Linked DNA regions of Canis lupus familiaris. The protein of the gene in region 3 purifies or fractionates together with the protein of the main gene of each other region. This does not show direct contact. Links are inferred from orthologs where the notes say so. Each region holds a gene or a part of one and is shown on either strand. Other genes may lie near its edges.

The links.
Region 1: the proteins of USP44 (region 3) and CETN2 purify together in Homo sapiens (affinity purification with mass spectrometry; 4 studies listed by BioGRID and IntAct, counting the BioPlex papers as one, with this or other methods). This does not show direct contact. The link is inferred for Canis lupus familiaris from reciprocal best matches to the Homo sapiens genes USP44 and CETN2.
Region 2: the proteins of USP44 (region 3) and EZH2 purify together in Homo sapiens (affinity purification with western blotting; 3 studies listed by BioGRID, with this or other methods). This does not show direct contact. The link is inferred for Canis lupus familiaris from reciprocal best matches to the Homo sapiens genes USP44 and EZH2.

What each region holds. Positions count from the first base shown.
Region 1 is NC_049260.1:122,023,731-122,028,036, reverse strand, and holds the start of CETN2 (centrin-2), read left to right. Parts: upstream 1-1,422; 5' UTR 1,423-1,462; coding exon 1,463-1,561; intron 1,562-2,478; coding exon 2,479-2,637; intron 2,638-2,948; coding exon 2,949-3,077; intron 3,078-4,306. UniProt on the Homo sapiens protein: Plays a fundamental role in microtubule organizing center structure and function. Required for centriole duplication and correct spindle formation. Has a role in regulating cytokinesis and genome stability via cooperation with CALM1 and CCP110.
Region 2 is NC_049237.1:1,619,070-1,622,720, reverse strand, and holds part of EZH2 (histone-lysine N-methyltransferase EZH2), read right to left. Parts: intron 2,340-3,651; coding exon 2,223-2,339; intron 1-2,222. UniProt on the Homo sapiens protein: Polycomb group (PcG) protein. Catalytic subunit of the PRC2/EED-EZH2 complex, which methylates 'Lys-9' (H3K9me) and 'Lys-27' (H3K27me) of histone H3, leading to transcriptional repression of the affected target gene.
Region 3 is NC_049236.1:35,701,054-35,704,704, forward strand, and holds part of USP44 (ubiquitin carboxyl-terminal hydrolase 44), read right to left. Parts: intron 1,667-3,651; coding exon 1,558-1,666; intron 1-1,557.

The DNA.
Region 1 (4,306 bases), on a different chromosome or scaffold from region 3:
AACATCACTCATCACTAGGGAAATGCAAATAAAAACTACAATGAGACATCCCCTCAGCTGCCAGAATGGCGAAAATCAACAACACAAAAAATAGCAGGTGCTGGCAAGGATGTGGAGAAAGGGGAACCGTCTCCCGGTGTTGGTGCGAATGCAACCTGTGCAGCCACTGCGTAAAACAGTATGGAGGTTCGTCAAAAAATTGAAAATAGAACTACTCTCATGATCTAGTAATTGCACTACTGTTACTCAAAGAACACAAATACAAATTCAAAGGGATACATGCACACTGATGTTTGTAGCAGCATTGTTCATGATAGCTAAGATATGCAAGCAGCCCAAGTGTCCATCAACAGATGAGTGGATAAAGGAGATGTGGGGTGTGTGTGTATGTGTGTGCGTGTGTGGGGAATACCATCCAGCCATAAAAAATGAAACCTTGCCATTTGCATTGACATGGATGGGGCTAGAGAATATTATGGCAAGTGAAATGTCAGAGAAAGACAAATACCATATGATTTCATTCATATGTAGAATTTAAGAAACAAAATAAATGAACATGGGGGGGGGGGTGAAGAGAGGCCAACCAAGAAACAGACTCTTAACTACAGAGAACACACTGATGGTGACCAGAGGGGAGGTGGGGGGGGGAATACGTTACATTGGTGATGGGAAATAAAGACTGCACTTATCATGATTAAAGAAAACAAAAGAAATTTAACAGAGTTTTATAAAAGAACAGTCTCCAGGCACCCCTCACACTTTCAAAACTCTTGTGTGACTTTGCTCAGTGTCTCCGCCCGAGTGGGTGTCAAAAAGTACATTTTGATGACCTCTCCCCTCATGCTCAGTCATATCTGTTTCACTCCCTCAAAACTCCCCCTCAAAGGGAGAGCCTCAGCGGGATTCGGTTTCTAAGTCGCAGCTGTCCACACCTCCTCGACACTCCCATTCCCTTCTCTGGCTCTGCTGTCCCTTGAGCACAGTCTCTGCTCTGACCCTCAAGGTCACGGTCTTCTCTGGCCCCTCTTTCCAAATTCAGTCTTAAGCCAGACCAGAAAGCCCCCAACCGGAAGGCCCCACCCAGCCCCCTACCCTCCCACCCAGTAGCGGATAGAAGGCAGCCTCCGAGGGTGAGGTCGTGACCCTTACCCGTCCGTAGGCGACCCCCCGGCCAGCCTCCGCGCGCCCTCAGCTTGCACCCAAAGGCCTCGGGCCGCTGGCGGTCACCCTTTTCTCCCCACCAGCATGAGCCGAGGATCGGCCGAGATGCCTCCGCCAAGGGGATTGGCTCAGCTCGGCGCCGGCTCAGCCAATCGGCGCTCACAATGTGATCCTGTCCAATGAGGCCAGGCCTCGGCTGTGAAAGCACAGCCCCCTTGCCCTGGGCCTGGCCTTTGTCCGCTTAGCCCCACCCACCACGGCTCCCCGCCAATGGGGAGCAGCGGCGGCGAGCGGGCTGCCAATGGGGAGCGGAGCCGCGCGCGCGGGGCGGTGGGAAAGGCGCCGAGTCAGTGTGTACGTCGGTTGCCGTAACAACGGTCCGCGGAGTCCATCGGCAATGGTGAGTGGGGGCCGCCCTTTGGTGCCCCGCGGCCAGGGGCTGAGCCCTTCTCAGGCTTCGTGTGGCCCTGCCGTCGCTCCCGCGCCGCTCTCGGCTTTGGAGTGCCCCTACTTCCTCTCGGCTAGTTCCCGGAAGGGTAGGGTAGAGACGTCGGCCGCCACCTGGGCCTGCGGTCCTGCGCCGCCTCCCCTTCGTTCAGTCTGCGCCCACCCATCCCTCGGGCGCGCGTGGCCTTCCCCTGCCAGCCCCCGCGTGACTGCCCCTGGTCAAAGAATACTCGGGTTACCCGCAGGCTCTGACCTCTCAGACCCTGACCTCCTGGTCGCTTCGTGCTACCAAAGTTTACCCACAGACCTGGGAGGAGGTTTATTATGTTTGATTGTTAACGTGCATTCTGAATAAATACAGGGATCTTTCGGGAGACGTTTTGATCTAATTAAAGTAGGCACAGACCTGCCTAGTGGATGGAATTTTATTATACACCTTAGCAAAGTAGTAATATTGGGCCAAATGTAGAAGTAATCACAAAGTTGGAGTACAGAGAGGAGGAATACTGCGAGCCAATGTTGTAAGGGCTTTTCTTGAATTAGGATCGCCAAATTCAAGGACAGCTGATCATCTGTACAGTTATCCACAGTCAGCTCCTTGGCTGGATCTCTTTGGGGATGATTTTCAATAAGAGATGTGCAAAGGAACACGGGATCTCCTTGCTTCTACAAAGAATAGGAAAAAAGAAGGAGGGATAGCGGTGCACGGAAAGATTGTTGTTTCAAGTAAAGCCCTGTTATCTCTCCTATTAAGCAAAGCTGTGGAATTGCTTGGTGTAAATATTTTATGTAAATATTTGTAACTATTTTATGTAAAATATGGATTGCATCACTTAATATCGTACTTCTGTGTTTGTAAAACACCTAAAGGCCTCTAACTTTAAGAAGGCAAGCATGGCATCATCTGCCCAACGAAAAAGGATGAGTCCTAAGCCGGAGCTGACTGAAGAGCAGAAACAGGAAATCCGGGAAGCTTTTGATCTCTTTGATGCTGATGGAACTGGGACCATAGACGTAAAGGAACTTAAGGCAAGCCCTTTACATTCCCACTGTACTGCCTTCCTTTCCTCTACTTCTTTCTCTTCTTTCCTTGTCACTGCTCTACCCCTTTTGCCCTCTTTTCCCTGCAAAAAGTTTTCCTGTTTTTCTCTTCTCCTGTCTTTATTTACCTCAAGTGTTATAAAATAAAATTGAGCACAAATATCAATCTGCATAACGCTATAGTGTTTCCCAGTCATTTTAACATGATTGTGTCAGATGCTGGCCTCATGCTCTCACTGTCATTTTTGTTCCTGCCAGGTTTTGATGTGCATATTGACATGATCCTGTTTTCATTGTAGGTGGCAATGAGGGCACTGGGCTTTGAACCCAAAAAAGAAGAGATCAAAAAAATGATAAGTGAAATCGATAAGGAAGGGACAGGAAAAATGAACTTTAGTGACTTCTTGACTGTGATGACTCAGAAAATGGTAAGTTACTAGGATAATCAGCCTATTTTCCACCCATATTGGTGAACAAATTTGAATCTAGATATAAAAATGTCTTCACTGAAGAAAGGTTAATACCAACTGGAGGGTTCTGCTGAAAAAGGGCAGTACTTATGACTGACAGGATGCTTAGGTTCTATCTGGCTCTCTTCAAGGCCACAGAATCACAGGAAAAGTCAGTTTACCCTTTGAGTAAGAGAACTGCTGTCACTCTTTTGTGATTATTTTTTTCCAACTGATGTGTTAACGTGCTGACCACAAGCAGTAAAACCTGTAAACACCAGCAATATTGCACTGCCTGACAATATGAAATGCCTATACTTTAAAGGTCAAAATTCTTTTCTCTCTCGTTTCTGATTCTGGGCGGCTCTAGCCTGAGGGCGGGTGACTTCTGACAGCTGTGTTTTCCACTACACTGGGAATTTGGCCTTTCAGCACTTTCATTTTTTTTCTTTTTTTCTGATTTTATTTTTTATTTTTTTATTTTTATTTTTTGGAGTTCGATTTGCCAACATATAGTATAACACCCAGTGCTCATCCCGCCAAGTGCCCCTCTCAGTGCCCATCACCCAGTCACCCCAACCCCCCGCCTACCGCCCCTTCCACTACCCCTGTTCATTTCCCAGAATTAGGTGTCTCTCATGTTTTGTCACCCTCACTGATATTTTCACTCATTTTCTCTCCTTTCCCTTTATTCCCTTTTGTTAACTTTTATATTCCCCAAGTGAATGAGACCATATAATGTTTGTCCTTTTCCAATTGACTTACTTCACTCAGCATAATACCCTCCAGTTCCATCCATGTTGAAGCAAATAGTGGGTATTTGTCGTTTCTAACGGCTGAGGAATATTCCATTGTATACATAGACCACATCTTGTCTATCCATCCATCTTTCGATGGATACCGAGGCTCCTTCCACAGTTTGGCTATTGTGGGCATTGCTGCTGTAAACATCGGGGTGCAGGTGTCCCAGCGTTTCACTGCATCCTTTCAGCACTTTCAAGGTTGAAGTCACCCATTCCCTAGTGCCTCACTTGTCCCCATTTTATTTTTTAAAATTTTATTTATTTATTCATGAGACACACACACACACACACACACACACACACACACACACAGAGGCAGAGACACAGAGGGAGAAGCAGGCTCCATGCAGGATCAGGCCCTGGGCTGAAGGCGGCACTAAACCACTGAGCCACCGGGGCTGCCCA
Region 2 (3,651 bases), on a different chromosome or scaffold from region 3:
GACAACAGAGAAAAAAGAAGATGCTAACTTAGCCGGGAAGAGCCCATCCACAAAAAGTTCTGGAGAAGGGAGAACTTAAGAACACAAGGGACTGGGGATACCTGGCTCAGTGGGTTAAGCATCTGCCTTCAGCTCTGATCCCAGGATGCTGGGATCAAGCCCCACCACGAGGAGCCTGCTTCTGCTGCTCTCCCTCTCCCTCTCTCTCCTCCTTCCTCTACCCCTCCCTCCCTCTCTCTCCTCCTTCCTCTACCCCTCCCTCCCATTGGAGGGGGCTCTCTCTCTCTCTAATAAATATAAATCTAAAAAAAAAAAAAAAAAACCCACAAGGGACTGGAAGCAGACATGCATGGTAGGGAGAGAATCTTCAATAAAGAATAAAAAAGACAGTAATGACAGATAAAAGACTAGAGGGTTCTGAAGTCCATATTTAAAGAGACTAAAGTAAGGATAGGTGTATCTTAAGAAGCCTGTAAACAGGGTATTGGTTAAAAACAGAATTTTAGGGATCCCTGGGTGGCGCAGCGGTTTGGCGCCTGCCTTTGGCCCAGGGCACGATCCTGGAGACTCAGGATCGAATCCCACGTCAGGCTCCCGGTGCATGGAGCCTGCTTCTCCCTCTGCCTGTGTCTCTGCCTCTCTCTCTCTGTGTCTATCATGAATAAATAAATAAAATCTTTAAAAAAAAAAAAAAACAGAATTTTAGGAGAATAATCTGATTAACAGAGTGGACTGGATAAGAGGACAGGAGGCCATGACAGGTGCGGCTGTGGAGGTGCCTCCGGCAGGTGCCTCAGGCACAGAGCACAATCAAAATGAAGAATACACCAGGAAAAGGCCATGAGACACACCGGGGACTGTCATGCAGCAGCAGGCAGGAAAAACGAGGAGAACAGGAAAATCTCAACTAATCCCCAGATGACAAATTTAGGACAACTGCAAAGTTCAGAAAGACAACAGAATCTTAGAAAAACAGGGGAAAGGGAAGTTGGGGAAGAAAGTACATAAGGGATATAAAATTAAGATTTAGATTTTAATGCACTGATCTATCTAGAGTCAAACTTACATACAACTAAAGAGTCCAGTTTGTGCCACATCTCACTTTCACTAATCCCATTTAAACTAGAAGTGTTAATTTTTTTGGATAAAGGCCAAAATTAAGTTATAATTGGCTATTTTGTCTTCCCAACTGTATCCATGTAAGCTCTGCTCCCCACCAAAACATATCCTAACCATAATATAGTCTGCCTAATGTGCCTTGGTCAGTGACCAGCAAAACCCATGGATAATTCTAAATAATAATGACAATTTTAAACACTAGATCCTTTCAGAATTGTAGTCTATGAAAGTATAAAATCTCCCATAAATTCTTGCAATTCTTAAACTAAATGTTTTTTGCATGAAGCCTTAAACACATGAGGCAATTACAGAAGAGTATCTGAAGTTTATCTTTAATCACTCACTGTAAAATCTTTCAGTTACTAAAGACATTAGAAACAACTATTTAGGGTAGACCCAGTGGCTCAGCGGTTTAGCGCCGCCTTCAGCCCAGGGCGTGATCCTGAAGACCAGGGATCGAGTCCCACATCAGGCTCCCTTCATGAAGCCTGCTTCTCCCTCTGCCTGTGTCTCTGCCTCTCTCTCATTTTCTCTCTCTCTCTCTGTCTCTCATGAATAAATAAATAAAATCTTTTAAAAAAATTTTTAAAAATAAACATATTTTTAATCCCAGGTAGAGGGGATTCCTGGGTGGCGCAGCGGTTTAGCGCCTGCCTTTGGCCCAGGGAGCGATCCTGGAGACACGGGATCGAATCCCACATCGGGCTCCCGGTGCATGGAGCCTGCTTCTCCCTCTGCCTGTGTCTCTGCCTCTCTCTCTCTCTCTCTCTCTCTGTGACTATCATACATAAATAAATAAAAATAAATAAATAAAATAATAAAATAAAATAAAATAAAATAAAATAAAATAAAATAAAATAAAATAAATCCCAGGTAGAATTCCTGCTCAACACTTTTTCTTTGGAGAATATTTTAACTTGGAAAGACTAGAAAAAGAGCAACACCACAAAGGCTTATTCAAATATATGTATCAGTTAAAAAAAAAAATCACTGAGTGTTATCATTTCAGTAACTTTTTTTTTTACTTGTTCTTGATTCACAAGAAAAGTGTGTTTTATTTAAAATAAGTGATAATAAAGTAAGCAGATCACAGATGTACATACCATAAAATTCTGCTGAAGGGGAGACCAAGAATACATTATGGGTACTGAAGCAACCGCATTCAGAGTCTTTAATGGGATGACTTGTGTTGGAAAATCCAAGTCACTGGTCACTGAACACTAGAACAGAAAAAAATAAAATTGACTCATAAGAATAAAAGGACAACCTCAAGTGGTAGACATATTAAAAAGGAACTCAGCCCACTTAAATAATTTTGAAAAGGAAATCCCTTTACCTAAGACAGAAAGGTTTCTAAAAACCATGAAGGATTCTCTCTCCTTCTCACTTTCTTTTACTTAGGGTGGGAAAAAAAAAAAAAAACGCTTCAGATTTTGCAAATTTTTAAAAGCCTCCAACGACCCTTCCCATACTTACCAATATCGATCAGAATCAAAAACGATATTTGCTAGCCTCAGGTTAACTGCTCCTTGCTTTCACTATAAATTTCTTGGCTTGATGCTTAGTTTCTTTTACATCTCCACCACTTGGAATAATATTATATATACCAAATATGCCTCTTAAATCTCAACTAATAATAATATGGAAACTATTAGGTTCACCTTTCTTATTTTTATCTTCCCTTCTTAAAAAACCCAAGCATCATTTGCTATTACCAGATGTTAAACAAAGATGAAGGGTCATAATAGATCTGAGTTTCAATCACAACAAAAGAAATTCCTATCCATTCTACAAAAGTATAATCTCTAAACTAGTAATAATAATAATAGGTAATATTATTAAGCACTTTCTATGTGCGAAGCACTATTTTAAACACATTCCATGTCTTTTATTTTTGTCCTCATGACACCATAAGATAGGGATTAATTCTTAGCCCCCATTTTACAGGTGAGAAAACTCTGGTGAATACAAAGGTCAGTAAATGGCCCAAAGCCATACATTAGACAGGGCTAGAATTTAAATCCAGAAAGAAAGTCTGACTCTGGAGCCTCTGCTCTTACCCACTATACATACTGCCACGATACTGTATCTCTATCATGTTTAAGTGCATAGACTCTCTGGAAATACCGTATTTCATCCAACCTATGATGACATTAATTTCAAGGCATTCCATTACTTTCTGTATCAGTAAGAAAATAATGTTGCCAGTTAAACTGTAACAAAGCTTTCTTTTTTTTTTTTTTTTTTTTTTTGTAACAAAGCTTTCTTATCACAGTAATTCTAAGATGCATTCCAGTTTCAGATGTTAAAACGTCAAAATTTTGCATCTCTTGATTCTATGAAATACGGTAAAAATCTGTGCCCAAATGATGACCACAGCACTTTCTATCCTGTCTAGGAATCCAGCTTTTCTTAAAGAGTACCATTATCCAATATCCAATTAGCAGGCTTCCAAGAACCTTCTCAAAAATACCCTTGGACATATATTCATAATCTACAATCAGTGAAAATAGAGCAAAAAGAAGAATTGAA
Region 3 (3,651 bases):
AAATTAACCTCCTAACTAATCTTCCTGTTTCCATTCCACTTGATTTTATGCATAATGACAGGTCTCACCTGATTTCACTAAACCTTTTGTTGTGTACACTTCCCTGTTCCTTCCTCCATACCTTTGTTCATGTTGCTCCCTTGGGCTGAAGTGCTCCCCCTTCTGTATATGCCCCATTCATTCACTTAATTAACATTTGTTGGGCAACTACTATGCACAGAGCTCAGTTCTGGGCCTTGGGATACAGGTGAAATAGACAAGGTCCCTGTCATTACTGCCAGAGGGAGAGAAATAAGTAAATAAACTACTAATTGCAGATAGTGGGTTTTACCATTTAAACAAAAATAAGGGACACCTGGTTGGCTCAGCAGTTGACCATCTATCTGCCTTTGGCTCAGGGCAGATGTGATCAAGTCCTGCATCGGGCTCCTTGCATGGAGCCTGCTTCTCCTCCCTCTGCCTGTGTCTCTGCCTCTCTTTCGGTGTCTCATGAATAAATAAATAAAATCTTAAAAAAAATAATAAATAAATAAACAAAAATAGGTAATGTAATGAGGGTTAGGTGGTGCTACTTTTAAATAGGATGGTCTAGGGCAACCTGGGTGGCTCAGTGGTTTAGCGCCACCTTCAGCCCAGGGTGTGATCGAGTCTCATGTTGGGCTCCCTGCATGGAGCCTGCTTCTCCCTCTGCCTGTGTCTCTGTCTCTCTGTCTCTCTGTCTCTCCCCGCGCCCCCCACCCCCCACCGTGTCTCTCATGAATAAATAAATAAAATCTTAAAAAAATAATTAAAAAAAAGAAACTTTAAACAAACCAAAAACCAATGTGTGAAAAACATGATTTCAATAGTTTCAAATCACAGCACATAAAGTAACTTAAGAATAAGCTCTAAGGTTAACGTAGTTATTTCAAGGTGTGAAAATCCATATGCCTTGCTTAACCAATAGTTATGCAAACTAATTCACCTGTTTCTGAACACTAGAGATTTTTTGTTTTTGTTAACTGCTCTGAATTGAACTATACAATACCTTAGATATCGTCCAAGAATGAAGCAGTTGGGCCACTCTTAAGTTAAAAATTTTAAACTTTTATACCTAAAATATGCTGAATATTAAACTCTATAAGCAGAAGTTTGCAAGAATAATATTACTACGCAGAAAATGTGAAGGGTCTACTCATCGTCAATCCAGGGAAGCTAACCAGGGTATTCTTATTGAATACGGAAGGTGTCCATGAGTCAAGGCTAGAGATAATGACAGAATTTCTTTGTCTTTAAAAAAAAACCCAGAAGTAGATAGATGTTAAGTCATCTGCTAGCCGAATTTATACTATTAAAATCTGCTTCATCATGTGTTAAGTTTTGAAGCACTATAAGCAAAAGGAATGACTAAATGAGAAGTGTATAGTTGGAAGAGAGACTGGCTGGCTCAGTAGAGCATGAGACTCTTGATCTTGGGATTGTAAATTCAAGCCCCACATTGAGTACAGAGATTACTTTAAAAATAAAAAAATCTTTAAAACAAAAGAAGTGTGTAGTTGGAATATTACTACTACTGACCTGAATCGTTTGAGATGTAGTCTGAGAACCTGAGGTAGGTGGCAAATCATAAGCTGTTTTTGTGCTTCTGTGAGTACAACTGATTTTGAAGAAAACCTTCTACGCTTTGCTGTGACATCAAAGACAGAATAAGAATCAAATTTAAAAATACAAAGAAATGCTGAGTGGACTTTAGATACTTTAGAAACATATTATACTGCGCTAGAGATAAAGACATGGCCTTGTTCTCAAAAAACTTGTAAGTACAAACACACACAATTTAAGAGCTAGTTAGGCAGACAGACACATAAACAATTAAGTATCTGATTTAATATACTCCTACAAATAAGGCAACAGAATGATCTAGTGCTGTAATATTTAAAAATGAATTTGACTATTCCAATTAAAGAAAAAGTTAAAACTTTCCCTAAACATACTTTAATATACTCTTCCCAAATTCTTTGAAAATATCATGGTCAGTTCATTTACTGAGGGAAATTGGAATTCCAGTGGGGGTGGGCCCTTAATAGCTCAGAATATTCTTTCCTACTTCCTGATAAAGCAGTCCTCTTCCAGCTCAGAGCCTGAGGCCTCCCTCAGTGTCTTGCTTTTGCTGTTTTCATACCAGATCTTAAACAAGTGGCACTTGGGATTCTGTTTTGTTGTCTCTTCTGCTTCTCTAGAGGTCTACCTAAAGCTTCTGGCTGGGGCACTATTTACCAGAGCTTGCTCTGGACACCCAGGAGCGGTCCTTCAACGTATACAAGAGCTCTGACTCCAGCCACAGCAGCAGCTGCTTCTCCTAAGGTGGAATTAGTCTCCCAGGAGGCTGTCTTCTAAGCCATCTCCACCTGCCATAGGTATCCTGTCTTCCAGGTCTCTGTTCCTGAGACTTGTGCTGTTCCTGTTCCTGTGCTGCTTAATGTCCTAGACTTACTTTTGGATCACCTCCCTGAATGTATGGCCTCAAATACGGCTATATACGTGATGTCAACTCCCTGACTTATAATTTTAAACATTTGCCTTTATGTATTAAATTATAACAGCTCTTATAGGACTTTATTTGGTAAACCCAGTAAACACATAGAAACAGGTTATAAAACCATATTCTATATTCATTCATAATATCTTTCTATTCCCAGATTTGGTGTTGGAGGCATCTAGAACCATTCACATTTATGTCCAAGAAAAAAATTACTTCATCATTCGAATTTGATAAAGGTTTTTTTCAAACATTATAAATCTTAGGCTACTTATCACAGAGTTCATATTAGCACTCAGAAAATGTTAATAGAAGGCATTCTAAAAAAAACATCAATTGATGTGACATTTCTTCAGTGCTGGAACATCCAATATTTCTTTTATATTACCTTTGAAGTTTAGTATCTAAGATCCAGGATCCTTTTTTTCAAACATGGAAATTAGAGAACACCTGAATACCTGGTATTCTAAGATACCACATGCATACTGATAGAGAAGATAAAGATACCAAAAAGACACAGCAGATCTGTCATAGTTTCATACACAATTTCCCTGGAGTTTGATGCTTTCCTTTAATTGAAATTACTATTTCAACCCCCCAGTGCTGAGTTCCTGGGTTCACCTCTAGTAGAAAATTTCTCATAATAGATCTTAATTGTCTGTTTCTTCCATTAGGTATGTGAGCACCTTGAAGGTGTTTTATTTCTATCCATAGCAATTAGAATAATGAATATAGAAGAGATAGCAGATGGTTTTTGACTAAATCTTTGTTTTTATGAAGCCAATCTCCATAGCAGCAGTCCAGCTATATATTTCCTTTAATAAATATATATATGCATATATATGTATATGTATATGCATATACACACTTATATATGTATATTATCTATATATCAAAAGGACTGTATAGATAGCAAAAGGACTCATAAAGCAAACATTTTATTTAGTACTAAATACCATGCTTTCCTTTTACTATTCCCTATTGCCTCTTTATTCTGCCTCACATATTAAGTTCAAATTTCTTATTAATCTTTTCCATAATTGACTATGAGATCAAAAAAGTTTAAAGGTCATCAATAAGGGAAAACAAACACATAGTTCACCAGCGCCAATTATAAAGTAGAAATATCTATC